4 linked regions of the Rhinolophus ferrumequinum genome follow. The protein of the gene in region 2 purifies or fractionates together with the protein of the main gene of each other region. This does not show direct contact. Links are inferred from orthologs where the notes say so. Each region holds a gene or a part of one and is shown on either strand. Other genes may lie near its edges.

Region 1 (7,101 bases), on a different chromosome or scaffold from region 2:
ACAATAAATAAAATGTAGTCCTTTCATCAAATTTTGGATCACCTTCTCTAAAAACCCCGCAATGGTGAGGTTTACAAAGAGGTTTTCTTTGAATTCCAATGCTCTTTCTTGTCCCCCTTCCAAAGTTCACAAAAAAGAGGGCTGATCCACCCCAGTAAAACGTCTCAGGCCAGGCAGTGTGGTTGTAAGTACACCCTTTTGATTTTTTTTTTCTTTTCTTTTTTTCTTAGAAAAATAAAACTCTCTTTTTGTACAAATATACAAGTCCATGTTCTTTCAGATACTTTCCAAAGCTCATAATTTCAGGCGCTGGCCTCCAAACACACAGTCATCATATGGCAGCTAAAAACAAGAGGAAAAAAGCATGTTAAACTTCCAAAACTTTTGCTAGGGGTGCTGGGATAATGGTGAGGGCATAATACTAGAAATAACCCAAGTATTTGTGGACTCCATTCTCTATAACCCAAATAGAAATTAACTTCATGGACTGAGGTAGTTTTCCTTTAATGCTCTTCTTTAAAAAAGGCAAAAAGACACACACTTGGGATATACTAAAGTTTGAGAACTTCATTATGTTGAGACCTTTGGGTAAAGAGTAGCTCTAGGGGCCTGGGAGGGTGGAGAATGACCATCTCACTCCTTTTTGTAGAATGAACTTGAGACTCACCTCGTCCTCTGTGAACTCTGACTCGGTGTCGTAACTCTCTTCATCTTCACTCTCTGGCAGCATCTGAAGGTTTTCTAGGGTCAGCTGGCCCAGCTGCTGTTGTATCCGGGTGCTTGGGCGACCCCAGGTGAGTTGATATGGGGAGTAGCCCTGGTAGGTGACTCTATTGACATCAGCCCCACACTTCAACAAGAGCGACACCAGGTCGGGGTTCTGTAAGTCCACCGCGAGATGAAGGGCAGTTCGGCCATTACACGGCTCCTGAAACCGAAAGGAATTTGAGATGCTTTAGGCTGAATTTGGAATTTTGGCTTGTAATGAGGGCACGTGAAGTCTGTGAGGAGGGCGCTGAGCGTGCTGCCCTCCACCTGGAGGCATGAGGCACTCACCTGAGCATTGACATCAGCACCCAAGGACACCAAAAGCTCCACGATGCCCAGGTAGCCATGGATAGAAGCTAAGTGCAGACACGTGTGGCCTAGAAGAACAAAAGGAAAAAAGTATAACCACTTGTTTCAATCCTCACATCTGAAACAAAACCTTTCACCTATTCTTTTAAGGGACAAATTCTTCTGAATATGAACAACCCAGGATCTGAGATCTGAATGAACTTTATAAAGGCATCAAATAGGCCTTTTACACACACGTTTGCTCAACCCATCACACGCTGATAGTTTAAGCTCTTGCCTGGACTCTCTAAGTTGGCCCACCTCTCCCTTCCCGTGTCACCTGCCCTCTGATGGGCAGGGCAGGCAGACGTACCATTGTAGTTGGTGGCCTGCAGGATAGAGTGGAGGTGCTGGGTCCCACAGCTCTGAGTCAGGACTCCCACACTGGCCAGGCAGCCCTGCTCACAGGCAAGGTGTAGGGGGGTATTTCCTCGAAAGTCTCGGAGCTCAGGATCACAGCCAGCTTCCAGAAGTGCCTCAGCAATTTCTGGCTGGTTAGTAATCACAGCCAAGTGGAGTGGAGTCTACAAACAGAAGAGGGAACAGAAAGAGGATTAAGCCACGGACCAAACCCACAGTCTGAGTTCCCTTGAACCCCCCTAGATCCCTAGTTTGCGGGGGGTTGCTGCTCCCAGACAGGTGCAAGGGACAAAGCAAATACCAAAGGCCCCAGGTGGGCTTCATAAAGGCCACAGCAAATTAATGGGATGTTCTTTACTTTCTAGAATGCTGGCTGATTCGGATGTAAAAAGTCAGAGCGGATAATGACCACGACTATGAATTTATAAAGCATTGGGAGCAACTGTGCTAGACCACGGGGTCAGAGAGGCCCGGGGCTGGGCAAGAGGCGCACCTGCTGCAGGTTGTTCTGGAAGTTAAGAAAGGCCAGGTCTCCCTTCACTTGGCGGACCACTTCCAGAGTCAGTGCCTTCTCCTCGTGGATAATGGCTAAGTGCAGGAACCTGAGAGGAAAAGAAGGGAAAAACCCCCAGGGCTGGTGAGTACAATGCGTGGGGCCCAGGGAGGCGCGGGCTGCGGGGGATTGCGCAAGGCCGGGGTTTCTGAAGGCCGAGGCCGCGGTGTTTTCCGCGAGGTTATTATGAGCTGAGTGTTCCTGGCAGGCGCCCAGGGACTTTCCGGGCCCCCCCCCCCCCCCCCGCTCCCGGGCGGGCGCCGACCAGACCGCCCCGCCCTCCCGCCGGGCCGGAACGCCCTGTACTTCCCCTCGCTGCGGCACGGCGCCCGCCCGTCGGGCAGAAACTCCCCCCTCCCCCCTTCTGCAAGCGGGGACTTCGCGTCCCCGCCGCCCCGCCCCCGGCCGAGAGGACCGGGACCGGGCAGGGGAGTGTGAACGGCTGCAAGGCCGAGCTGCGGAACCGCGGCCCCGGGAACGAACCCTGATCCTCTGCCCTCATGCAGCTTTACCCGGCCTCGGGGTCGGTGCATAAACCCCGATCCACCGCCGCATCGCGCGGGCCCCGAGGCTCGCGCTGCAGGCCCGGCGCCCCCACCCGGCCCCGTCACCCAGGCCTGCGACACTTACGAGTCTCCGTCCTCCGTGAGCTGCTGCTTCCAGGGCTCCGCGCTGCGCGGCGCCTCCTGCGGCTCCAGGCGGATCTCCCGCAGCTCCTTCACCATCTGCTCATAGTCCTCGTCCTTCATGGAGTCCAGGCCGCTGTCGTGGCGGTCGTCCAGCAGCCGCTCCTTCTTGAGCGCGTCCCGGGGGCCCTCCATGGCCCAGTCCTGGGCGTGCTCGGCGGGGTGAAACATGGCGCAGTGACTGCTCAGGCGCTGCTCCCCAGGTGCGCTCGGCTGCGGGCTGCGCGCTCCCTTCTTCGCAGTGTCGCAGGCGGGTTAGGACTGTTGTGGGCTCGGCAGCGCCGCCGCGGCGCCCTATAAACGCTGGCAGGGGATTTCTCCGGGGCGGGGTCAGGCGCGGGGAATTTCCAAGCCAGTCAGACCAGAAAAGAGAACTGGCCTCGTTCTACGGCGGAGGGAAAGCAATCTAAACCCTAAGCAGGGTTCATCAGAGAAACTCCCAGCGATGAGCCACTGGGGTCATGCACAGGGAACTTTTTGATGAACGCTGAGTGGCTGGAAAGTCCTCCCGACAAGGCCCCCTCCCGGTACTTCCCTGCAGCCTGCACTCAGTAATCTTGTCCCTCTGCAAGAAACCTTCTTTCCCTGGGGTTTCCCACGATCGATTGGATTTGGGGTCCTCGGCTGCAGAGATCCCAAAGATGCAGACTTGCTGGGCGGTTCCTCGTTGGGGTTTGCCAACCTGCCGGTCTTTTCCGTTTTTTTGATCTATTGGAAACGCGAGTGGAAATGATGGCTGGGTGTAGGGATTCGTTTCCTCAAACTTCTGTCTGCAGGGAAGAACGCACTGGCGGGGAGAAGGGATGCCTCTGCGTGCCTGCTGACCCCAGGCTGTTTGCAGTGCAGGGACACGTAGCACTCCCCCAGCCCCCTCAGGTAGAAGGTGTGCAAGTTTTGGCGTTAAAAACCTAAATGCTTGGAGAGCCCTCAACTAGTTTCCTCGGGACTAAAAATCCTGGTGACTGGGGAGGGGTAAGCACTCTGCCCTCTCTCCCCTGTATGTGAGAAAATGCTGAACAGGAACTTTTTTTTAAAAGTAGGGCAAGGTAGTAGAGGTTGTAGATGCTTGACAATAACGAAATAATTATTGAGGTGGTTGTGCTCCCTGAATTGCACTGTGGTGCTGCAGAGAATGGATCCTGAGCCTACTTCGGGGTGCCACGCTGGGCAACTTTCCAGAGGCATTTGGAGAAGGACGCTGAAGAATGGGTTGAGTGGTGACTTACTACCTAACATTGGGCCTTAAGTGATGGCTAAGAAAGTAGCTGCTAGGCATACTGCAGGAAGCTCAAGGGGTGCCAACTAGTCCCCATCCTGCCCCTCCTGGTTCCTTGCTCTCCTGTCCTGGGGGAGGGCAGCGGTTGGACTTACCATGCATGCAATGTGGGTAGGCACTCCAGGCTCACTATCCTCTGTTTTCAACTACAGAAATAGAATGTATACTCTCCTCTGCACCCTCACCTCCTAGCCAACAATCCAGTGAAGTTAATTGATTGACCCTTAGCATTGGTCCCGGCAAAACAAAGCAACTTTGGTCCCAATTCTTCACAATTAGTTCCAAGAGGTCTCTCATAGTTTTGCAGATTTCTGAGGGTTGTTGCAATCATCTTTAACTTGCCGGGCCATGTACTTACCAAGCTTGATCCTCTCTGAATCTCCCTCTCCTCAGCCCTCACCCCCATATCTGAATGTAGGGAATCTGGGTCAGTGAGGGTGACAGACAAAATATGGGGGGGGGGAGTAAAATCAAGAAATAAAACCTTCATGGTAGTAATGATCACATGCTAAAATGAAAACTTCCCAGGGATACACTCTGCTGTCTCTGTAGGCATGTGATACACAACTACACAAGTTTTCAGGCAAGGTGGAACAGTGACTATAAGTAGAAGATCTCAATTCCAGGCTCTATCTCTAATTAAGTGCATCTTAATTGGAGGTATCAATTAACTTTGCTGTAGTATACCTGCTTGGATTTAATGCTTTTTGGGTTTTTTTTTCCCCCAGCTTAAAAATTGTATTAGTTGGCCACACATGCATGTATAAACCCCTGCTTAAGAGTGATCGTGTCTCTTGGAAATTCACAGTATATATTTTTGGAAGGACTCCAGCACCTTATGCAACACATTGTTCTCAGAACTAATCTTGTAAGATAGGTAATATTCCTACTTTCCTAAAAATAAACTGAAATGCAGAGAAATTTACCTAGGTACCCCATGGCAGTTAATCTAATTTCTGTCCCAACATATTAATCATTTGGCCAAAGCTGTTGTGGTAGGTATTAACACTTTTGAAGACACATTTTGAAAATGAGACCGAATATGTTATAATTTGGAAGATACTCAAAGTATTTTCTGCTCCAATTGTTGGATAAAATAGAGGGTAGATGTTTCCCTATCGGGGGTATTCATGTCTGTAAGAAAAAAAGTACAGAAAAGTCGAACTTGAGATGCCCCACTAATAAAAGGGTACCATAGGAGAGAATTTTTAGCTGCAGGTTTCAAATGATTATTAAAAAAGAAAATCATAAAAAGAAAGAAAAAATCATGCATAAGTAAAAGTATCTAGGGAGTAAGTTTCTTTGTACCTCTTTTAATGACTTTATGTTCTTGATGGCCTTAAGGACCTAGTCGTCTTTATTCCCAATTGTTTAGTGTGATTCCTGGTGGTAAGAGTCAGGCGCAGGTGTTCTCTGATTTGTCTCAGAGGTTTTGGGAATTTGGCGAGGTGCCAAGCCTTGGTGACCTGTCCCTATGGTGGGGATTCCCAAGGAGGTACCTTTTGTTTTTCTGCAACCTGGGAGACAGTTTTGAATAATGTGATCCAACAGGTTTTCTCTCTATCATCTATAGCTCTCTACATTGAAATCAACAAATATTACAACTTGGGCAATAAAGAACACACTTGGAAATCAGAAAACATGAGCAGAAGGGCCAGAAAAAGACAGCAAAACTTTGATTTCTGGTTTAGAAAGACCTTTATGGACTCCTGGGCACTTAGGGTTCTCCCCACCTCATTGTCACACATTTTAGCTCATCTTGACCATTTTGAAGATGTTAAACCTTAGGTAACTAATTTTTAAATGTCATTTGGCTTTTTTATTTTGAATGCAGAAGAAGGCAAACGAATGAATCTGTTAACCCCGAAGCTGCTTTATAGTTTAGTGCAGAATGCAGCCATAGAGAAGGAGAGGATGGCCAGGGGTGCTCAGGGGCTTCACTGTGGGCAGGCGCACCCCTCTGGGAAAAGGAGCACCAGTGTGTGACTTCATTTATTCTTCCTGGGTGGGAAATGCACAATGTGGACTGAACCTACGGCCTGAAGTGCCCAATGGCCTGGCAATGTGGAGATGCTTCTCTAAGTTCAGCCAAGTGGACCAACATATTTGGCTTTTCCTAATATCCTGGGCAGCGTGTCCTGTGCCAGTTGCCCTAGCCAATTGAAATTGTTTTAGCCCCAGCATATAGAACTGCAAAAGGCTACCCATCACTCAGTGCAGCCAGGCTGGGAGAGAGAGGAGCGCGACAGAGTCCTGAAGGCCAAGTGAGTCCGACACACTGCTGATGGACCGCGCTGCTGCGAAATTCTGAATTTATATTCTGCTTCCAATCCCAGGCTCAGTCTTCTTTCCACCTCTAGTGGTTAGCAACCACCTGCATCCATCCTCCTCAGAATCTGAGCTCCCAAGCTCTGAATTTCCCCACAGAAAAACAGCTGTCAGGACCTTTATTCATAGTGACCTGCAAATAAGACGGTCAATGCGTTTATGTGTATCTTTTGCTACAAATTCTGCGTTTTGATGGGGATCAAAGTGTTAAAGGGTATCGAACTCAAATACTTACCTTATAGGGGCCAGATAGGTTTCACAGAGGAGTGAAGGTGGCCGTGTGAGTCCAAGAGGGAATGGTGGCATCTTCAGCAGTTGGCCTGACAGCATGTCCACAGCTCAGGCAATGTTTGCCAAACAGCACTTTGCATTCAGTACTGATGTTAAGAAAAAAAAAAATCAAAACATGGATTTTGATGTGACCATTTTCAAGTTTTAAAATATTGTGAAAACCAAATAAAATGCATTTCTGCAACTTTTGGCAACATGGAGCCCACAGGCCCTGATCTTACAACCTGTTTCTCAGCCAGGGTATGATGTTTTCATGGTGCTTTGGGAGAAGGCACTCACCTTCAGCTCCCGTGGTGTCAGGGGGTCTCTGCTCCTCCGTGTAAATGGAGGCTGGGGTGGAGTGTGTCCATCTAGGAAGTGTGGTCTGCCCTGGCAGGCAGGGTTGGAATCAGAGGCTCTAAGCCCTGAAGAAAACTTGATCCCTCCCTCAAAGAACTGTTCAACACTACACTGTAAAATTAGTATAACAAGTTCAACCAAGTTCTGGTTTT
Region 2 (7,177 bases):
ATACCGGTAAGGCCCTGAGGCCTGGAGCGGAGTCGCTGCCTCTGAAGTTTTTGTATCATGATCTCCATCATGTTCTTCTTGGTCACATGCAGGACACCCAGGTTGTTAAATCTGGGTGAGGGAGGGGGAGTCAGGGATCTTGCAGACAGTTCTTTCTTCCTGAGGCACCCCCCCCACCCCACTGCCCAGGCTCAGCACAGCCCTACTTCCTCTAGGAAGCTTTTCTGGTTTTTACTTGGAGCCTTGGGTTCTAGGGCCAACCTAAGTCTTTCCCCTTGGTCAGACGCTAAGTTCAGAGAGGTGGGCTGGGGCCTAGGACTGGCAGGCAATGAGGGGGCATACCACTGGGGGGGCCGGGGTGGGGGACACCTACTGGGCAGTCATGTCCTTGGGCCCCACAGACACGGCGCAGACCCCCAGTTCCGAGCACTGCTTGCCCACCAGGCTGTGGGCGTGAGCACGAGGTGGGTCACTGTGCGTTACCAGGTCCACCTCGATCTTGGCTGGTCCCTCGTAGTTACAGATCTAGGAGGGGTGAGGGCTGTCAGTAATGCCCCTGGACACACTGTCCACTAGCCCACCCTCAAGCACCACCCTTGCTCACCTTGACAGTGGGATACGTTTTCCGGCCCTTCTCACTAGAGGCACCTGGCAGTCCTCCATGGGAGGGGCCTTCACAGCCATATCGAAATCGGAAGCCTCGCTGAAGATTCCAGGGCAGAGTGACATTGTGACCAGGAGGCCCCCCCCCCCAGCCAGCCATACCCCCTGCCAGCAGTGACCATAATGACTGGTAGTGCCTGTCCTGAACCACAACCACACTACTGATTCAGCAGCGGACAACCATCCCAACGCAACGTGGCTTCTGTGGTCAGTGACCCTCCCCAGGGCCACCCAGCTACAACTACCCCATCTGCCCTCAAAGCTGAAGCCATCCCACACCATCCCTTCCACCTCACTCACCTGCTTAGGCTGTTCCACAATCACCAGGTATGGTCCATCAGCTGGGGACAGAGGGGCCTTGCTGATCCCGGCTCTCTGACCCATCCCCAAGGCAGAGGGCACATACTCCTCCCTCCCCCTCCCTCTAAGACCAGGGGAGGTCAGAGGACTTATCAACCTGTGTCTAGGGCTGGCTCCTTGGGCTCCACAATGGATGGGTTGAATTTGAAATCATCGTATTCAATGATGCCATCCAGATCCTGGTTTGGAGACAGAATGGGATGGCAGCTGATTCGGAGCCACCCCCAGAGTCCTCCACCTCCCAGCTCTCTAAGCCCTCAGTAATCACCCCCTCTCCTCCCCAGGTCCATAAGAGAGGTCCCATTGGAAGCAGTTTTGCAGACAGACCAACAGGCAGGCTGAGATAAAGTGAAGGTACTACAGGTGTAGGGGAGCAGAGGGGACTCCGACAGACCCGCAGACAACCAGACAAACACAGGGGGTCAGCCAGCCGGGTTTGGGGCCAGGCGGAGTGACTCACTGGGTCGTAGCAACTCTCCATGTCTCTGGGCTAGGCCCGACTGTGTGGCGACTCCGGCCGGGTTCTCTTTCCCAGTTTCAGTCGCCCGCCTTGGGTCGGGGTTGGGGGGTGGGGGGAAGTGGCAGGGGGGCGGGAAAGACAGATCAGGACCGGAGTAGAGAGGAGAGGGGGGCCCAGATTTGGAGGAGGGTCGGATCTCCTCCAGCCACCCGTCCGGGTGTGGCGGACGAGATCCGGTGGAGCGCGAGATCGGGAGCTGGGCTGGGCCGGGCCGGGGAAGGGGCAGGAAAGTTAGAACAGCTTAGGAAAGTCCCGAAAATACCAGGGGGGAGGCGGGGCCGGAGGGGGCGGGCCTGGAAATGACGCCACTGGCCACGCCCCCGCGGCGGGAGGGGCGCCAGGTTGGCGGCGCTGGCCTGTGGACACTCGCAGCTTGTCTGTGGGCAGAGGGGCAACCAGACCTAGCGAAGCCCCCGTGAGGGTTGGGCCCCTCTCCTCACTGCAGAGCAGGGGTCGGGGACCGGAAGGTCTTTCACGGCTGGGAGAGGCTCCAAGCCCCGGGCCAGTCCTACCTCCCGCCCCTTTCACCTCCCCCATCCTGGAGTAACCTTGGGATTTTCTACCCTGAGGGAGGCCACGGCTGATTCACCCCGGGGGCTTTTGGGGGGACATTCCTGCTGTAGGAAGGCCGCCTCCCCGAAGGCCTGTAGGCGGGGGCTCTTCCCAGCGAGGGGCCCAGGGGTTCTGCCCCGAGAACCAGTCTCTTGGGCCGCGGAGCTAGGGGAGGAAAGGTGTCTCCTCCTTGGGATGGGTTCCTCTGTTCCCTCTCCTCGAAACACCTCGATAGCCGTTGACTCCCACGCCACATGAGTTTTGGGTGCCCACGCCCCTGCCCCAGTCCCAAAGCCGTTTGTAATACTTGTGTGTCTCCATCACAGGTATACAAGTGTGAGTCAGCTCATGTGCTTGCGTGCGTGTTGTGTGTGCATGGCGTCAACATGCGTGTGCAGCTGAGCATGTCTGTGTACAGGTGAGTGTCCTTAAAAGTCTCAGTGTGTACACATGTCTGAGCATATCTTGATATGTAGAGGCGCAGGTGAGCATATATTTGAGTTTGTGCGTGAAGGGTATGGGTCCAGGCTCACCTGTGCACGGGTGAGCGTGTTTGCGTGTGCATTTGTGTGCGAGTTTGAGTGATGGACTGTACACTCGCCGGCTTACGTACAAGTCCGCGTGTTTTGTACAAGGATGTCGATGTGTATCCGGGTGTCTTGTTCGTGTGCGTGCTCTCTGTGTGTGTGCATATGCTTTCTCCAGCTCTGAGTCTCCCTCAGTTTAGGACACACTCCTCCCGCCCTTCCCAGAGTCCTGGCCACCCAGGGGTCTGAACCCGGCCACTCACCGCGGCGGCGGCTCCGGTTCCGGCTTAGCTCCCGGCCCGACCCACCTGGGACGGGTCGCGACACCTCTCCAGCCACCAGCGCTCTAGTGGGGAAAGCCCCTTTACCGCCCCCGGGAGGGGGGAATTCCCGTGACGTTGCCGTGCGTCACGCCCCATGCCCTTTTTCATTGGCTGAAAGTTTAACTCCCGACGCGCACAACCAATCCGGAGCGACTCAGGCGCTCCCCTTAGGGGGCAAATATTCGCGCAGCGCGGGGAATCGGGAGTGGGTATGACGGTCAGCCAGGCGTGGGCTCTGGTGGGGGGACCAGTCCCAGGCGGGATCCGCTGAGCGAGCACCATCCCCCTGTCGACGCCCCGACTCCAGTCTCCTCACCCACTCAGGCCTGCCTCAGACGGCTGGCAGCCCCGCTGCTACTCGGCTTACGCTGCGCCTAACGCTTGGCCACCTCTGGAATTGGGGAACCCCAGGGGGAAGCTGACCGACCGGCCCAAGTCCTCCTGTCCCCCGCCCGGAGCGGGGCCCCGTTGCCGGGAAGTTAGGGGAAGAGGAAGGAAACTGATCTTTCAGTCGGTCCCAGGGTGCCATCTGGCGGCCCCCCTTTGGAGCCGCAAGGAGACCGCGTAATCCTTTTACTCAGTCTCTAACTCTTTGTCCCCTGGAAAAGACCATCTGGACCTAAACTTATTCTATCAACGGCAGGTTTACTGAGGGCCAGATTTTAAGACCTAAGCTCAGGAGCTCCGTGCTGGGAGGGAAATAAGGTGTTTATCTGAGAGACTCAGGCTGTGCTCATCCATCACGGAGATTTGGAATGTTAAGAGTTAAAAAGACATCCACAATCTTAATAGTTCAAACTTCCTCTGATGTAGGAAATTGCCTTTTATATAGTTCCCAAAGTATGCCTCACACTTCTAGTGGCAGCAAGGTCACTTTCACAAAGTACTGACTCCCAGGCCGGACATCTCTGGTTGGTAGAATTTCTCTTTAGAAGGTGCCATGAGTAATCTCCATTCCTGGAGTCCTACATTGGGCTCACAGTGGAACACAGACTGTTTGTTGTTTCGGATCTTTCCTGCAACTGCCTCCTGACCTTCTAAATAATGGACTTACAGGCCTGCACTAGCTATGCATAAAGGGAGACTATTATGGCCCTTGATTTGGGCTATTTCCTATTACTTCCCCTTCCTCTTCATCTTGCCCACAAATGGAATGTGCCAGGTACTATGTTAAGGTACTTCAGTGTAAGTTCTTGTTCTTCCTCCCAACAACCCTAGAAGGTAAATATTACCTTTCTTTACTGATGAAGTAATTAAGTCTCAGAGAGGTGAAGTAACACCTCTAGCTAGAAAGGGACAGAGTGAGAATTCAAACCCAGTCTGTTAGCTCTGGGATGAAGCTTTCCCCAGAAATTCATATAAAATAAAGCAGGCCTTTCCACCCAACTGTGGGCCTTTCAAGTGATTATCATAAGATACCATCAAACAATTTGCTAAAATCCAGGGATACTGTCTACGACATTCCCCTGGTAAATCAGTTCCTTAACCCTTAAATTAAAATGGAAGGTTAAATTTTAAAATGGGCAGAGGACCTGCATAGACGTTTCTCCAGAGAACATACGAGTACAAATGGCCAACAGACATGAAAAGATGCTCAAAGTCACTAATCATCAGAGAAATGCAATTTAAAACCACAATGAGCTATCACCTCACACCTGTCAGAATGGCCATCATCAATAAATCCACCAACAAATGTTGGTGAGGATGTGGAGAAAAGGGAACCCTCGTACACTGTTAGTGGGATTGCAAATTGGTGCAGCCATTGTGGGAAACAGAGAGGAGGTTCCTTAAAAAATTAAAAATAGAATTACTTCATGACCCAGCAATTCTACTTCTGGGTATTTATCTGATGAAATCCAAAACACTAATTTGAAAAGATACATGCACACCTATGTTCACTGCAGTGCTATTTATAATAGCTAAAATATGGAAGCAACCTAATTCCCCTCGATAGAGGATTGGGTAAAGATGTGGTATATATATGTATAATGGAATATTACTCGCCATAAAAAATGAAATATTACCATTTGTGATAACATGGATGGATCTAGAGGGTATTATGCTTAGTGAAATAGACAGAGAAAGACAAATACCATATGATCTCACTTATATGTGGAATCTAAAGAACAGAATAAATAATAAAACAAAACAGAGACAGACTCATAGATACAGAGAACTGATGGTTGCCAGATGGGAGAGGGGTGGGGGGACTAGGTAAAAAAGGTGAAGGGATTAAGAAGTACAAATTGGTAGTTACATAATAGTCATGGGGATGTAAAGTACAGCATAGGGAATAGAGTCAATAATATTGTAATAACTGTGTATGGTGTCAGATGGGTACTAGACTAATCAGGGGGATCACTTTGTAAATTATATAAATGTCTAACCACTATGCTGTACGTATGAAACTAATATAATGTTGAATGTAGAATGTAATTGAAAAAATAAATAAAATGGGAGCTTAGTTTGGAATATTCTAACTTAGTGAACCTGTGCTGATCACCGTTGATCACGACTGTCCCTTTAAAATGCTCATAAACCACCAGCTCAAATTGGCATGAATTTTTCTAGTTTCCACGTTTCTAAAAGCACCCCTAAGGTTTAGCTATTTTAGTTATAAGATTCTGAACTATAATTCATTTATCTGAAGATTTTAAAAAAGCCTTTATTATAGAAAATTTCAGACATATAAAGAATGGAGAGAAGAGTATAATAAACCCCCATGTACCCATCAATCAACTCCAACAATTCTTGATGTTGACCTGGAAATTTTGACTGACTCAAAGTTTATAGTCAGTTTCTATAGCCTCATCTATCTGGGCTTAGAAAACCCATTGTTTGTTCACTAATTTCCAACCGAATGATTATCTGTTTCTGTACCTAAGGCTAGCACTGCACCTGGCCCAAAGCAGACACACCATAAATTCACTGTCTTCATTCACCAATGAATAGTGAGGGCCTACTCTAGAAATCAGTGTCTTTGTTTGCAGATAAAAGTCAAATGAATGTATGTCAGTTGGTGATCAGTATGATGGAGAAAAAGTGGGCAAGGGGAGGGTGATCAGTATGATGGAGAAAAAGTGGGCAAGGGGAGGGGGTCAAGAGTGACAAGGGTTTCATACGTAGCAGACAGGGCAGGCTTTTCTGATAACATTTGAACAGTGACGTGAAAAAAGTTGAGGGAATGAGTTGTGTGAATATCTGGGGGAAGAGCATTCCCGGTGAAGGGACTAGCAGTGTAAAGATCTGATACGAATGTGTTTGGCATATTTGAAGAAAAGCAAGGTTAGGTAAGTGGGATAAAGTAAGAACTTTGCATTTTATTCTGAATGAGATGGAAAGCCACTTGAGCAATGGAGTGAAAATGATATGACGTTTTAAAAAGGCCCATTTTGGCTGCTGTGTGGACAGCACACAGATCATGGGACTAGAATATAAGAGGGAGATCGGTAGACCAGTAGTGGCTTAGACTTGGGTGGTAGTAGGTGAGGATGGTGGGACGTAGTATTCACATTCTGCATAAATTTGAAAGATAAAAGCAACACTACTTGCTGAGGAATTGGATGTAGGATGTGAGAAAAGAGGGGGTTGAGTTGTCCTTTAGTGACATGGGGCAGACTGGGAGAAGAGCAGATTCCTAGCGGGGGTAATCAAGAATTTTTCCTTTGAAGTTTGTTATGTTTGAGAGCCTATGAGGCATGCAAGTGGAGATGATGTGGGTGGTTGGACATAAAGTCAGTGCAATGGATGGTATTTAAAGTCTTGACTGTGGATGTTACCCAGCAATTGAGTAGAGAGAAAGGACTTGAGGACAAGAGCTGGGCCCTGAGGCGTGCTCATGTTCAGAGGCTGTGGAGATGAGGAAGAGAAAACAAAAGAAATTGAAAAGGCATGGCCAGTATCTCAGAAACCAGTGAAGAGTATTTCAAGGAGGGGGTGATAAACTGTTTACCTGAACTAAAGTTCCTTCTCAACTGAAGCCCAGGAACTGAGGGGGGGTTCTGCTTCCTCAAGGCCATTTGTCTCCTAAGTGGTGAGCCCTAAGCAAAGGTATATACTGAGAGCTGGAATAGCCACATTTTTCTGTTGTTCCTAGCAATGCTGTCCATTGTAGCTAATTCTGTACAGTTGACCTCTGAACAATGCAGGGGTTTAGAGGCACTGATGCCCCCCCAGTCAAAAATCCACGTACAACTTTCAACTCCCCCAAAACTTACCTAGTAATTAATTCT
Region 3 (7,610 bases), on a different chromosome or scaffold from region 2:
AGTGCTTAGTATAGCCTCTGGTCCAAATTAAGGGTTCCATAAATACGTGTTATAATTATTATGACATGATCATCTCGAAAGTACCTATTCAATCAACCCAAAAATCACTTTGCCTAGGCTACAAAGAGGAGTGCACACAGCCAATATGGTAAGCCATATAAGGAGTAAGCACTAGAATTAATAACATAAAGGCTACCTTTTTAAAAAATGATTACTAAAAAATATGCTAGGTACTAAAATAAGCTGTTTAATAGCATTATCTTTGTTAGAGAGCATGGGGAAAATTGGCAGTTCCAGAATTTAATCCCAAATTTGTTCTGTTAAGAACTAGGATAATTATTCAGAATACGCATTCTATTTAGAGAATACTGGATATCAAAAAGATAAAACAGCGCTCTTGGCAAAAGCATGCCGCCCCCCCAAAAGACAAGAAAAGTGAAAGGAGGCATTTCATTATCACCTACAGACCGATTCTTTAAAAAATTTGATCTTTCCTCCTAACTCCAACTTCTACAGCTTCCAGGTCAACTATTACCACACCTCACACTAGTATGAGCAAATTGATTTCTTTTTAATGAACATTTTAGGAGTATGTTTAAGGAACCTTAAACATGTTCATAAATAAAACTGATCAAGTAGATTAGTGGCAGAGCCTGGCTGAATCAAGTACAGGTAGGCTTTCAAGGTAAGAACAGGCAGTTCCCTGGGGCTAGAACTTCACAAAGTATACTGCTTATTTATTTTAAATGAAATACTGTATAAATACAGAACAATCATAGTATCTTCCATCTCTTCTAAACAATCTTTAAGAAAGAAATAGTCAACACTCTGGTATTCACTTATTTTCCTTCTATTTGCTCAACCCGTTGCAAAAAAGTTTTAATGTACATCATTCTACTGAAACTTTTATCAGTGACTAATTTGTAGATAACCTACCAGTTAACATTTCAATAATATTTGTAATTTAGACACATCCTTGACCAAATCTCAAATGACATTAACATACTTATGTTAGTATTATCAGTGTTCAGAGTTTTGTATTTTTTTTTTGCGGGGGGGAGGTGGGGCATAAAGTGATTACCTATTGAATAATAAAAGATTACAAACACTAGTGTTTAAATCATATTACAGTCTTCCATAATTAATGTTTTAAGCATCTCAATTCAGGATAAAGTACACAATGACACTGGTAATATTTGCATCTTTTAAGAAACACTAGGCCTCAAACACTAAGGGCAAGTATTTAAATACATTGCAAAGAAAAGCTTTTTTCACATGGTAGTTTCAATACCATATAATGGTAATCTTATGCCCAATTTCTTTTATAGCAAATTATAAACATATTTAATTTATATAAGTGTTTTTAGATGTGGTTGGAAGAAATAGTGTCTCTATCATGGCAAGAACATAAACATGGTTAAAGAACATAAATTAGGGAAGGACAGAGAACTCAGTGTTTTTGTGTCAGATTCTGTGAAAAACACTTTACATACTAGATAACTAGAAAGGTAGAGGAGTTGGTGAGGAAGGGAGAGAAGGGAGATAATTTTATTTCCTAATGCAAGCCACTCAGCAAAAATTCAATGTAGACAAAGTCTTTTCTTTCTGCAACAGTAGAATATTCTATTCTACTTTAAGCTTTAGTCCTAAGCTTCTAAATTTGTAATCAATTATTTGTTTAAAAGGCATAGAATAAATATGAAAACGAAGATCATTAAAAACATAACCACTGAAAATTCATACTCTTGGAGATTAAGTTTTTACTTTGCTATATTCTTAAACATTACTTTAAAATAGCTACTATAACCTGCCTCCTTAGCGCAGTAGGCAGCGCGTCAGTCTCATAAAATAGCTACTATATGTTTTCATCAATATTCCTTAGAATTGGTCCAACTCAGATTTCCTAAATCTTGTTATATCCATGAAACCATTAAGAATGCAAAAGGCCAAAAAGATACAAAACAATTCTAACACAACCGACTAGTGTAAGAATTTACCATAATTCCATTATTATATTTACAGCAAGAGTTTGAAACTGATGAAGTTTGCAAATGTTAAGAATATTTTGTTTCATTTAGATAATATACGGTAGCTAAAAAAAATTCTTATATTTTCAAGATATGTTGATACATCTGTTGCTGCTGAGCGAGGAGTAGGGAGCAGAGAGATTGTATTTCATTATTTTCAAGGCTACTAGTACCAATGAACTTTTTATGAATTGATGAATGAAATAACATATAATCTCTAAAAGTTCACGGGGGTACTCAAATTAACTAAAATTATTGAGGCCTCCCAAAACCTAAAGCAAAGAAAACGAAAAAGGAAAGCTTACTTTCTAATTTTTAAAATAAGTGCTGCTGCTTTAAGTAGCTAGCAGTCTCACATCCAGTCCAGGCTACAATCACAACATCCATTAGAGCGCTCCACAGCTCAGAGCAAGCAAGCAAGTGGTTGTCAGTGCAGCTAGTAAATCACCTGATCCTATTACAAAATCAATTACTGCAGTGCATTTCCATTGCTACACAATCTGATGATGACAAAATGATATTGGATAGCTACTGCAAGGTCAAGAAAACTGCTAAGAATATCTTTAATTGGTCTTTTATTTTTAATCATTTGGTACTAGTTATAATGCATCCATTTTAATTGTATATTTTTATTTGAAATAAATCTATGTAGTTACCTTTGGTTGCCTGGGACAATCGATGGATAATCTCTGCAACTGGTCTGATGTATGGCTACAAGAGAACAGATCGGAGCAGCAGGTCGAACGGTTCAACCTCTTCATTAAAGAAGAAATAATGCTGCAGCCACAGCCACACATTGACTTGCTCATTAGATGAGGATTTAACTTTAAAAATCAGAACTGGTGAGGTCCCATATATACTCAAAATTGGCTAAATGCCTCATTCTGCAGCTCTCTGGCTGAAAGAAACACTGTTAAAAAAGAATAAAACAGCTTCCCTACAGAAGGTACCAGCCACAAACTCATCGCCAAGAAGAACTCGATACTAAAAACAGAAGTCTCCCGGCTACTCTTTAGAAAGAAGGTAAGGTGCTTTAATATTTCAAACTGTGTTATATTAAAACCCAAGTCCTTAACAAAGGAGCAAACTCAAGATAATATACCCCAAAATTATACTAACCACTTTTTCTGTCCTCCATCAGTTTAGATCTGTTTGCCTACTCCTTTAGCTCAGCCTATCCAACCTGTTCCCTCTGTAAATGCTCACTATTTCAACAACCAACAGGAATGAGCCCCACCCCTCCCTGTCCCCATACACACTGTTCAAGAACCGCTCAATATCTGGAAAAGAACTGCTGCTGCATTGCTCTGAGAAACAACAGGGAGCAAATTACTGGACGGATTCTTTAACTTACCAATCAGAACTGCTGACCTTTTATGACTCCACGATTCAAGAAGCCTGCCAAGCACTCACAGTAAGAATAATCAACTGATTTTACTTGTATATTATAGATTAATTTACAGGATCATTTTCAATCTTATTAAGTCAATCTAAAACACAGAAACATAGGCATAAGAATTTTTAAAAAACAAAATTTATACAGTAGCTATTAAAAATCTATGAGTATTGCTGGGAGGGGGCAGGATGGTCGTTGATATGCATAGCAAAAATTCTCTCTGAATATTGTACTTAGGCTGGAGAAATATGGAGCAATAAAGTTCTACAGTAAAAATAGTGGTATAGATAATGATAAGCCAAGGAGTCCCCTGACATCATAAATGTTAGAAGAGTTTTAATGAGGAAAAAAAAGGGCTTGTGGCTATAGGTAGGTATTGATAATAAGTGAAAAGCCATTAAAAATCTGGTTGTTTTGACACTGAATCTTCTCCAACTTGGGTTATTTGCATCTCATCAAAAAGATTCAAAAAATATAAACCACCCTAAAAATATAAGCAAAAGTATTAAGTATGTTAGCCATACTGTAGTATATTTTATACTGAAGCATCCTTTTTTGTCAATACTGTGTAAAGGCATTTATTTACACCATGTAACTATAATCCACATTATAATTTCCAGGACAAGAGAGGGTCACATTAATACAAATATGTTATAGTCTTCCCAAATAATCATACTTCAAATAATTGTAACTTAGTGAATATTCACAGACCTACGATTATCAATCTTTTTTAACAGGACCCTTTTTTGAGGAAGATAGTCTAAAAACTAAATGTAATAAGAAACACCTTGAATTAAAATGTATATTTTAAAAACTTCCTGTGTTCTGTGGCATTGAAAGGTTCTTTATTTGTACATGCCTCACGCTCAATTTCTTCCTTGGTTTAAAGCTAAAAAGAGCCAGTATTGCCTCTTCCTTCACCTTGCACTGCCCTTTTGATATCATGTTATACTTAAATCAATTTCCAGAATATCTAAAAACAGGCATGCACTTCACATTGAATTTTTTAAAAAAACCTGTTGTAGATAAAGGCTGTGGAAACAAACAAGCAAAATAATGCAGTAACCTTTTACTCGCCTGCTGGAGGTACTGTCTGCTGCATAGAATTTTAAATCCTCATCTGCAGATGCAACTGAGCTGGTATTGCCAAGAACCGCTTTTCCTGCGTGCTGCTTCACAGCTATTCATCGAAAGAGCACATTATGTGGAAAATGCGAAGTACTATCAGTTTAAGTTGCTTATACGATTTAACAACAGAACTTCTAAAATCTAGAATCTGTCATATTTTCAGATGCATGTCAGACACACTGGGGAAAGGTCTTATTACAGCTGATGCACACTCCTCCTAGCTAATGTGCGAGACTGGGAAGCCAAGAGAGGTAATGAAAACATTACTACAACATCCTAACGTAGAACAATGTACTGAGCATTAAAACCTCCTATGATTTCTATTATCGACAAATGTATAACATGCCCAAATAATTTGAGATTTTTATTACCTTTATAATTAACAAAAGCCTATAAATAAATCATTGCGCCTAATATTACAGACAAGCATCAATAAAAATCCCCACCAAATGCATTTTGCTATGAATTGCTAGCTACTCAGCATCAATGTTGTTTTTAAACAAAACTATGAAATAAAAGACCCAAAGTATAGATTACTTGTGAAATAACTAGACATGTAATGCTTCACCCCTCTCATCCTCCTACCAATACCCTCTGGATCTTATATTAGTTATAATTAAAATAGAATGGAAGCAATAAGGGCTATTTTCATTACATATTATTTTTCCTTCCGTGTCAACTAATTTAATGTACTATTGATTCATACAGATAGAAGAAGGCAGCAAACCAATAAAAATAAAGCCTTAAAAACTATCAGAAAAAGAAACATAATATTGTTTAGGAAAAACGGTTAATATTTAACTTTAATAGTCTAGCTATAGATACTTTTAAAAAGAGACAATACTAATATTTGCTCACCAATAACAATGAAGCAACATTATTTTTTAAATAAACTGCATTTTAAAGTTGTGCTTTTCGCCTTAATTTTAAGTAACTCTAAATATCAAAAACTTGTTTCAAAAATTTAACAATCTATTTCTATTTAATTAATTTCTACTTCTCTGAGAAATAAGGTAACCATTCTACAAGGCACTCTAAAAGATGTATAATTTACAAACCAGACCATCCTCCCTCAATGCCCAAATTTATAAAGTAAGCACAAGCTAACTTCAATAGTTACCCTAAAGTAAAATGTATCAAATAGAAACTTACCCAATGGACACTACTATATGAGAGTATTTTTTAAAACTATTCTTTCATTTAAAACTCTTTACTGCCATATATAGTATCCCCGTGAGAAATAATTCTAGCAGTTCTCAAAATATGAATCTTTGGGATCCCTGAGACCATTACATGGAGTCTACGAGATCAAAATTATTTTCATAATATTAAGATGTTAATTGTGTTTTTCACTATCCATGTCTCGAGTACACACTAGTAAGTTTTCCTCAGACGACATATCATATATAGAGACTTGAATGCATAAGCCAATATGAGAATTCAACTTTCTTCCATTAAGCCAGACTTCAAAGATACTTGCAGAGATGTAAAACAATGTCATCTTTCTCATTAATTATTTCACTTCAGGAAAATATGGCTATTTCCAAAAAAAATATGTTAATTGTGTTAACATGTAATTAGCTATTACTTTTAATTGAATTTAATAAATGAACACTTTTAAAATTTAGTTTTACTTTCTAATAGGGTAACTATTGAGAGATATAACCCAAATAAATCAAAGCTCTTTGAGGTCTTCAATAGTTTTTTAAGAATGTAAAGGGGTCCCAAGCCAAATAAACTGAGACTCACTAGATATTTCTGTTCACATTTTTCCTTAATTCAAGGCTTACAGTTTGGGGTTATAAAAACAACTTCAGTAATTTTAAAAGCAATGATTCTAAAAGCATTCACTTTAGAATATCAAATATAAAATGCTTCTGAATTTTCACTGATGTCATTTTAATATTCAACTTTCAGTCATCTTAATTATTGAGTATAATTATTACCAGCTGTGTCTCACAGTACTGTTGAAAACTAACATCTATTTTTTTAAAAGATGTATAATAGATAACTGCTAATTATGATGTCCATGCAGTAAGACATTAAAATTTAGCTGGCAAACACATATAGCTTGAAAAAAAAAAAATCAGTTGTTGGGAAAAGGAAAAATGCAAGATTATATATTTTTAATATAAAAAGAAACCGTAAGAACAGTTTCTAAAATTCATCTTGCCTATACAAAATCAATTGTTTTAAAAAAAATTTTTTTCATGAGAATACATAAACTTTAAATAAAAGACATCTCCAAAAGGGATTGCCTTTCAGTAGTAAAGAGATGATTAGGGAAGAAAAACTTTTAAGACTATATGAAAGACAATCAGAGAAATTACAGTATAATTGAATTATTTTATAGCGATTCCTACTGCTGAGACTATGTTGAAAGTTTGATATTTTAAGGCTTTACAGTCCCATGAGGGAGAGATGGCATCTAACCCCCTAAATTTGTAAGTACTAGCCGACATTTTCTTCGGTAAGTCCCAAAGGGTTAATTTTCAAGGGGGTTCTCCTTGGTTCTGTCCTTGGCCAAATCCCATGTCCTCAGTTTTTCAAGAGCTCTGGTTCCCATTCATTCGTTTATTCACTTATTCAACTATTTACTCACACCTACCATGTGTTATATAGGTAATGAAGATGGACCAACACACAAAACAGATAAAAATCCCCCTGCCTTCACTGAACTTGTTTATTCCAGGGGGAGAAGAAGACACACAACAAACAAAATAAATATTTACTATAGTAGACGGTGATAACTGCTAAGGAGGAAAAAAAAAATCAGAAGGAAGGACAAAATGGCCAGGAAATGCCTCATTTTCTTATTAAGAATATAAGTAATATTTTTAAAGCTTTAAGAATATTTTTTTAAATATTGAGAGAGGAACAACAACAGCAAAACTTGTGGTAAATGAATAAAAAATTCAATTTTTTAAACGAAAAATTTTAATTATATAGGAAAGTAGAGAGAAGAGTATAATGAATTCCTACATATCTACTTGTCACCCATATTCAACAACTATTCAAGATATTACCAATATTGCTGTATTTGTCTTTTATACTTATTT
Region 4 (7,809 bases), on a different chromosome or scaffold from region 2:
GCAGCCCCACCTGCCCCCATCTCCCTCCACCCCCGCCAATGAGAAGCTCTGGCAGGAGACCAGACAGTGGAAGCAAATAAGAATCTTCACCCTCTCAGTCTTGACTGGTGTCCATGGATCTGATTGTGTCTCCTCCGTGGTTTCCAATTCTTCCGGTGACCATGGCCCCCAGCCACTGATTACACTGCTCCTCCGTCAGGTCCCGCCAACCCAGGCATTGGAGTGGATTCCTGGTTACCTCGCCATCTCCTGCTGGGCTCCTCAGCCCTTCCATCGTCTCTGTGCACCAATCCTTGCACTCAACTCCATGTCTAAAAACTCAGAGCGAGCTCTGATTCCGGGGTTATGCCCTGCCTGATACAGTACATCCTATCCATCCTCTCATCATCCTCACCACCTGGAATGACTCACTCTTCATCGGCAGCCACCTCTATCCACTCACTGTATGGGAAGCTCCCGAAGGGCAGGGACTGGTCCGGAAGTTCCGCACTCCCTCCCAGGACCTGACACAGTAGGGTCACATTTGTGGTTGGAGCGTCACCTCTTTGGTTGGCTGCAGATGAGAGCTGCGATAAGTTCATCTGACTAGGTGGCAATCAGTGAGCGTCCATGGAGAGAAGAGGTGGTGGGCAGAAACCCGACTGCAAGGGGTACATGCAAGGGGGAGATGAAGCAAATACCAGGAGTCCCAAGAAGTGTGGGAGTTGACAGAGTAAAAAACGGTTGGGCCAACAGTGTAAGGGAAAGCCAGGACAGGGGAAGAATCTTTTTCTTTGTCTGTTTTCAGGTTGCAGAGACTTGATCACATTTGGAGTTGAGAGGAAGAAGCTAAAGGGCGGGGGGAGTTGAAGTGCAGCAGAGGTGGGGAGCTTGGGGGTGGAACACATGACGTAAGTGGTTTCTTAGGAGGATTAAATCCGCCAGAAGGGTTAAGGATGGTGTGGACAGAGGACTGGAGGCAGGGAGGTGAGTTAAAAGGGGATAACCAATCAGGAAGTGAGAAGAATTTGAGTCAAGCTTTAACCCAGGGCTCCCTAAGAAGGCTTCAAAGTTGGGACGGGTCTCAGAAAGGTCATGTCCAGAACCTCCTCTTGGTAAGGTCAATTTTGCCCAGTGCCCCCAGAGTCCCCCACCTTGTCATCGCCATCCTTTGCAGATTTTGGCACCTCTTCTCATTATCCATGACACATGGCTCCTCCTCTTCTCTAATAGCTCTGTGGTTCACCGTGCCCCCTTCCATCTCCCCATGGTGGGCAGAATTGGTGCGGGGTCGTCAGGGTCCAGAATCTGCATGCAGTGGTGTGCTGATAAATGTTTAACAACCAGCTGGGGCGTGAGTAGCCCTGATTTATACTGTTTGCCAATTTCTATGATGTCAATACCCCCATCATATCTAATTTCAAGCCACGAACATGAAATCGTCACTGACCACAGGGAAGGGAGAGAACTCCAGCCCACCACTGCCTGAATCCATTCCCTCTCCTGCCTTCCTCGCCCCTCCATAAAACTCTAGACTGTGTGACAGCAATGGGCCAAAGAGGGTAGTGACAGTACCACAGCTGCAGCCTTGGAGAGGCCCCTGATGGGGAAAATAAAACTACCTCTCTTTCGGGAACATCTACTCCCAGCCCCCAGTCATCTTTGATCTCAGTCTCACCTCTGCGTTCTTCTCAAGTGTAACTTCAGGATCTCACAGGTATTTGGGGCCTGAGATCGACAGACACTCAGATGATTCACTAGCCACTTTCTCACTAAACCTCACTAGACACCATGAACTGTCTGGCTAAGCCAATAAAAACCAGAATATAATTTTCTTCTTTCCAAAGCAAACAGAAAAGGAAAAATGATCCAAGGATAGCATTCTTTTACTGATGTACAAAATTCACTCACTCTTCATCATTCTTCTACATAACTGATGAGCAATTGGCTCCTTGAAGCCCAAAGTCTCTTTGAAGAGTCTTATATGCAGGAGAGCAGGGGCCCTAGGGTCACATCTGGTTTGAATCCCAGGTCTCCTATGATAGCAAAGTGACCTTTGGCAAGTTATTTCTCTCTGAGCCTGTTTGCTCATCTGTGAAATGGGGATGATAATAGTACATACTCTATGGGGTTAGCCTGCAAGAGTTCTCAACTAGGGGCAATTTTTCTCCCTTGGGGATAGTTGGCAATGTCTGGAGACATATTTTGTTGTCACAACTGGGTTTGGGGGCTGATGTTCCTGGCATCTAGCAAACATAGGTCAGGAATGCTGTTAAATATCCTACAATGTATAGGACAGCCTCCAAAATGTCACTAGTGCCAGGAAACCCTGGGCTAGAGTGACTATTGAGTGAGGTTATGCACACAAAACACTTAGAAATATCTGGCTTATTTTTTGTAAGCTCTCAAAAAACAGAAGCTGCAATTCTTTTTGGAAGAGCACAGTCTTACCCTTCTATTTCCAGACTTGAACCGTTGAGGTGGGATGTGGAATCCTTGAGTGTTGAGAACCTGGCTCACGGCTCCAGATGTGAGTCACCCTGTGAATGTCGATTTATTTTTATTTAAAGCAGAGCTAAGGCTGCACAAGTGACTCAGGGCTAGAAGCATTCCCAGGTTGTCGGGACTTAACTAGCTGGGCTGGGAAGAAGTAATTTTGCCCTGAAGCTCTCCTTCCAGAAGGTGCAAGCATTCCACGACTCACAGACTCCACACTTGGTGCTTACTTGGAATGGGTGTTGCACTGTTTCTCACCTCACTCCACACATGGTAGGGCTTGGAAAGGCCTGAGAGAAGTAGCTGAAACCACAAGACCCTGCTTATCCCATATATTTTCCTCACTAATGTGTAGTGGTTTCTTCCTCCCTGGCAGCCTGATGCGAAATTCCTTCTTGGGAGTTGCAGCTTTGGGTCAACACGTTCACTCTCTCCCACTAACACACATTAGTGTTAATGGATAGATTTAAGGGCAGACAATCTTGACAGGGTAGGTGGGGGCAGGCAGGGACTCAGAGAAGTGTTAAAGGAAGCTGGGTAAAGTATATGGGCACTGGGTGTCCTAAAGAAGGTGAGAGAGAGAGAGGGCAAAGACAAGCCAGGGAGCATCTGCAGACTCTGGGCGTGTGCCCACGTCTTTCCTGAGAAGTGGTGTGCCCAGAGGCAAACAGGTGGTGGGAGAGGCAAGCCCTGCATCCAGGCTTGCTGATACCAACCTGTAACCCATCATCCGGCCAAACTCCGCCTCTCCCTGAGTCACTGAAATGAAAACCTCTGGGGTTGGAAGGAGCTTTAGGGGCTACTAGCTTCTTTCTTGCCCACCATCTTGCAAGCCGGTCAGTGGCAGAGCCAATTTATGTACCAGAGACTGTCCAGCTCCAAAGCATGGACTCTATCAGGGTCACAACCTCGAATGCTTCAGGGGCCAGGTGATATTTAAGGTTAAATGGTAGAGTGTAAGACAATAGGGGCAGGGGCTGTGAGGAACTGCAGGCTCTGTCCGAAGGCATTCAAATTCAAACTTAAAAACCACTGGACCAGCCAAATAAAATACATCTTTGGCCTGAGTAAGTGGATGAGGCCCTTAGGTTGTGAGTTTTTGACCATTGCCTAAATAAATGAATGGTCTTCCCTATCCCCCAACAAGGGAGATCTCTGTTGGTTACAGATCTCTAGAAATAGGCTTTGAACTACCAAGAACTGTCTGAAAAGTGGTCCTGAGCAGGCTTTGCTCCAACACTTCCAGCGATGAGGTGATCCTTACTTCCCAAGACAGCCTTGGATGGGGCCTACCTATCCCCACTACTAGAACCAGTTACCACATCTGCCTGCTGTGGACCGTTGATGGGGATTGGGGTGCCCAGGTAGGGGCATATCTTTCATTTTGCAAACTTACACAGTTTGGGATTTTTTTTTTTCTTTATTACAAATAAAATGCAAGCTCGCGGCAGAAACACTGGGAGATACAGATAAGCAAAAATTAGAAAAAGTATCCAAACCTCCCCTAACCACCTTTCCCCATTCAGGAAGAAGCACTATTGACACTTTGGTGCATATTTAGACTTCAGATCCTTTTTTGCATAAGGAAAGCCCTACTTTCTGGATCTGACCTGTAAACCCACTGCTTCTCCATCTGTGGAGATCTCATCAGACTCGGGTTTCGACACACAGGTCTGACCTGTGTAGGCCCTTGGCTGCCCAAGCTTCTCGAAGGCAGGCACTAAAACCTGTCTTACTCGTCCTCAGGGACTCTACAGCGCTGGGCACACAGTAAGTGCTCAATAAAAGTATTGCCAATCGTCCCTGGCCCCACTTGCCTCAGCCGCCAAGGCCTCGAATGAAGAGGAAACAGAACCTGGCCTGGGGGACCTGGCCTCGCTGTCTCCAAGGTAACCTAAGTCCGAGGCTGGAAGTGCTCACGCATGCGCACACTCACTCTTCCTTCCCGTAACCTCCAGAAGAACGCAACCCGTAAAAAAAAAAAAAAAAGAAAAGAAAAAAAAACTGCCAGAAGCCGAGCGCGCATGTGTGGTTAGACCAAACCCCAGCCGCCTCCGCCTTCTGTCAATCCGTCTGCCCAGCAGCGTCTTCACTATAAACATTGCCCGGAAATAGTGCCCATTTCTGGAAACGAGGCCTCGCTAACCAATCGTTGCTAGGGGCGGGACACGCCGGCTCATTGGTTAGATTGGGGGAGTGGGCGGGGCCAAGGGTCGAGGTGCGGCCAAAGCTAGGAGGCGCGAAGCGAGGCAAATTTGCAGCCGCCGGGGGAGGCGTGGCCCCAGGGCAGCCGGGAAGAGGATCAGGGGGCGGGGTCCGAGGCCGGGGCGTGGCGACCATGGGGCGGGGCGACCGTGGGCCCCAGAGCTCAGCGGTCGGCGACCAGCGGCGGGAGATCGTGGGCAAGGGGAGCGCGACAGTCGCTGGTTGAGGAGATCGGCGTTTGGCCGGTAGGTGACTGAGCGGGATCCCGGGGCTCGGAGCAGGGAGCACCGGGGACGGGTCGCCTCTCAGACCCGGGACGGTCTGCGGCCTGGCCCGCAGCCCCGGAATAGTGGTGGTCGGCGGCGCGGCTGGTCGGACCCACTCGCGCGCGGGCCCTCGGCCCTGGCGGCCGGCCGCCGGCGATCCCTCACTCACACTGCCAGGGCCACGGTCGCACGCCGTGCTCGCCCCGCACCCCCACAGGTGACACGCTTGCCCGAAGCGCGCGCGGGGGCGCCCTGCTTCCCTTTCCCCAACACTCCGACTCCCCTGCGCTCAGCTGCCCCCACCGCCAGGCCTGCCCCTCCTGTTGCGTTCCCTGGGTTTCCTTGGGATGGGGGCTCGCCTGGGAACCGGGCAGAAGGTGTCTAATGCATCAGTGCGCCCTTTCCATGCGTCCTCCCACCTGCCCTGGCAGTGAAACTCTCAGGCCTTTCCTGGGAAGTTCTTGGGTCACACACCCCGAGGCGGGGAGAAGGAGCAGAGCCTGCCCGTGGTGTTCAGAGGAGCAGTGCTGGCAACTCGCACCAGCCTCCTGCTTCCCCTGACTCCTCTGTAATTTTTTTTTAAACTTATTTTAAGTGTGTTTTTCCAGGACCCATCAGCTCCAAGTCAAGTAGTTGTTTCAATCTAGTTGTAGAGGGCGCAGCTCACAGTGGCCCATGTGGGGATCAAACCCGCAACCTTGTGAAGAGCATCACGCTCTAACCAACTGAGCTAAGGGACAACCCTCCTCTGTAATTCTTATGTCTGCTCCACTCTGGGCTTTATCTGTTGGCTCGGATGTAATATTCTCATCTTGGAAGCCCACAATGGCCCCTGGCAACCTGCAGCCACCGGGCACCAGGCAGAAAGAAGCCACTTGTACAGTGCAGAGTCCCACCTGCCCAGGAACCTCCTTGGTGCTGGGTAACTTCAGTAGAAGTGTTTCCTTCCTTATTAAGTGTTGCTCTGAGTCCTAAAGAATGAACTGGGAAATGAGTATGAGAGAAAGGGGAGAATGAATGGAGAAAAGGTACAGAACTCAGTGGTGTAAATGGCAAAATCACTTTTGCTAACTGGAGACAGTGAACACCAGTGACTTGATGAAGAACTCTAAAAGCAAGTGAAATGAAATGATGAGAGGTGGGGCTTGATACAAAATAGCAGTCTGAAGTTTATTCCAGGAAAAATGTTGAAAACCCCTTGACTAGAAACATGGTCGTTCTGAAACATTAGAGCGAGATAGTATCTTAACATTAGTGATGTGTTTTTTACTAAGTATCTTAGTATGTTCATACCTGTAACCTCCTTTTTCCTTTAGACGTCTGTGTGATAAGATAGCATTGTCCTGTTTTATAGATTAGGCGTCTGAGGCTGGGAGGGAGGAGGAGGTATAGATCTTGCCCAAGGCCTCATAGGTAGGACTCAGGGTGAACTTGAGCCTGGGCCACTGGAAGCTTCTTTAGGCTTCTTCCCTTGGACCAGGACCACATTCTAGGACTTTGATACAGGAAGGAAGGAATAGTGTTTGGTGCAGTATTTATGCTCTTAACGTGAGAGGACAGATGCTTGTCTTACTTACAATGTATTTGGATTCACTTTTGGTGTTTTTTTTATTTTAAGTGATGTCAAAGTCAGTTCCTTTGGTGCAGCGATGCCAGACCTCTGAGTTTCTCAGAGACACCTTTAGGACATCCTCATTTATTTTGAAGGGTGTGGTGAACTTCTCAGAAAGTCTCAAAATAAAAGTAATAGTCTCTGATTTTCATTTGAGAAATCTGTACCCAGGTATATGTCCCAGTACTTTTGTGAAATCAGACAGCAAGAAGTTGCCAAGCTTTAAGTCATCTTCGGACTGTTTTCAGATTATGAGGAGCAGTTCTGAAGGGTTTTTTTGCCCCTGGTATTGTCTGTTAGAGTTTGTGGGAGCAGCACCACAGACAAGGGACCTTGCCAAGTGAGCCTTCATCTATTAAACAAAAATGTCTGGTTGGCCGTTTCGCCTCAACAGATGGAGGTTTGCTTCCTCATTTTGGTTCTCCTGTTGAACACTGACTTCTTTGTGATCTGCTTGGAGTGTTTGTATATCATTTAATGTTGAGAAGCAGGCTTGCCCTGATTGGTTGTCCAACTCCAGGGAACTGTTGTGATTTTTTTGGTGCATGATAACAGTTCATCCTGGCCAAGGTCTGGTGAGAGATCTATAGAGATGTGAATGAGGTAAAGCTTCCCCCAGGGTTGTTTTCTTCGTTGTTGGCACCCTCTTAAGAGTGTCTTATCACTGTGGCCTGTGAAGTCACTCTGAATTTCCTATTTTTTTTCCTGTCTCAATGGACAGCACAGGAGCTTTCCTAGCAGATCTGCCTGACATGATGAAGAGCTGACAGATTCATGTTGGTTGACCTGACAGATGTTCTTTCCGGGAGGATAGTTAGGAAATCTTAAAATCAAATTCAGTCCTAAATTAAAAGTAGAGGTCAGCTTGATATACTTATAGGCAGCATATTTGTGCCAATGACTTCCATCATCTCAAAGCTGGTTTTTTTTTTTTCCTGGCAAAAGGTTAAAATGCAACTAAAATTCTGCTTTCATGATTAATAAGTCACTACCGCAGTTGTGTCTGATGCTTCCTGTTTGCCCCATTTTAGTATTTCAGTTAAACTGGAAACATCTGAGCGTTATGGGCACTTTTGACGGCACCGATGTGAAATTGGCGGGAAGGGGACCAATTCCATGTCAGTGGATTTGGGGAACTCTAAGGATCAGTCAGCCCCTCTGGCTCTGCACATCGAGAGCCCTAGGAAGGGAAAGGAATGGGGGTGCGCATCGTCAAGGGGGACGCGGGGGAGCATTCAAAGTGATGCACGT

The links.
Region 1: the proteins of NFKB2 (region 2) and NFKBIA purify together in Homo sapiens (affinity purification with mass spectrometry; 6 studies listed by BioGRID and IntAct, counting the BioPlex papers as one, with this or other methods). This does not show direct contact. The link is inferred for Rhinolophus ferrumequinum from reciprocal best matches to the Homo sapiens genes NFKB2 and NFKBIA.
Region 3: the proteins of NFKB2 (region 2) and FBXW7 purify together in Homo sapiens (affinity purification with mass spectrometry; 7 studies listed by BioGRID and IntAct, with this or other methods). This does not show direct contact. The link is inferred for Rhinolophus ferrumequinum from reciprocal best matches to the Homo sapiens genes NFKB2 and FBXW7.
Region 4: the proteins of NFKB2 (region 2) and MAP3K14 purify together in Homo sapiens (affinity purification with mass spectrometry; 6 studies listed by BioGRID and IntAct, with this or other methods). This does not show direct contact. The link is inferred for Rhinolophus ferrumequinum from reciprocal best matches to the Homo sapiens genes NFKB2 and MAP3K14.

Annotation. Positions count from the first base shown.
Region 1 is NC_046289.1:83,503,416-83,510,516, forward strand, and holds NFKBIA (NF-kappa-B inhibitor alpha), read right to left. Parts: upstream 3,011-7,101; 5' UTR 2,887-3,010; coding exon 2,660-2,886; intron 2,079-2,659; coding exon 1,970-2,078; intron 1,641-1,969; coding exon 1,430-1,640; intron 1,146-1,429; coding exon 1,057-1,145; intron 929-1,056; coding exon 668-928; intron 343-667; coding exon 295-342; 3' UTR 203-294; downstream 1-202. UniProt on the Homo sapiens protein: Inhibits the activity of dimeric NF-kappa-B/REL complexes by trapping REL (RELA/p65 and NFKB1/p50) dimers in the cytoplasm by masking their nuclear localization signals.
Region 2 is NC_046299.1:22,620,380-22,627,556, forward strand, and holds the start of NFKB2 (nuclear factor NF-kappa-B p100 subunit), read right to left. Parts: upstream 3,007-7,177; 5' UTR 2,886-3,006; intron 1,573-2,885; 5' UTR 1,505-1,572; coding exon 1,484-1,504; intron 1,203-1,483; coding exon 1,121-1,202; intron 1,005-1,120; coding exon 964-1,004; intron 704-963; coding exon 605-703; intron 526-604; coding exon 374-525; intron 112-373; coding exon 5-111; intron 1-4. UniProt on the Homo sapiens protein: NF-kappa-B is a pleiotropic transcription factor present in almost all cell types and is the endpoint of a series of signal transduction events that are initiated by a vast array of stimuli related to many biological processes such as inflammation, immunity, differentiation, cell growth, tumorigenesis and apoptosis.
Region 3 is NC_046301.1:23,865,104-23,872,713, forward strand, and holds the start of FBXW7 (F-box/WD repeat-containing protein 7), read right to left. Parts: upstream 3,006-7,610; 5' UTR 2,837-3,005; coding exon 2,684-2,836; intron 1-2,683. UniProt on the Homo sapiens protein: Substrate recognition component of a SCF (SKP1-CUL1-F-box protein) E3 ubiquitin-protein ligase complex which mediates the ubiquitination and subsequent proteasomal degradation of target proteins.
Region 4 is NC_046304.1:40,065,709-40,073,517, reverse strand, and holds the start of MAP3K14 (mitogen-activated protein kinase kinase kinase 14), read left to right. Parts: upstream 1-4,807; 5' UTR 4,808-4,925; intron 4,926-7,809.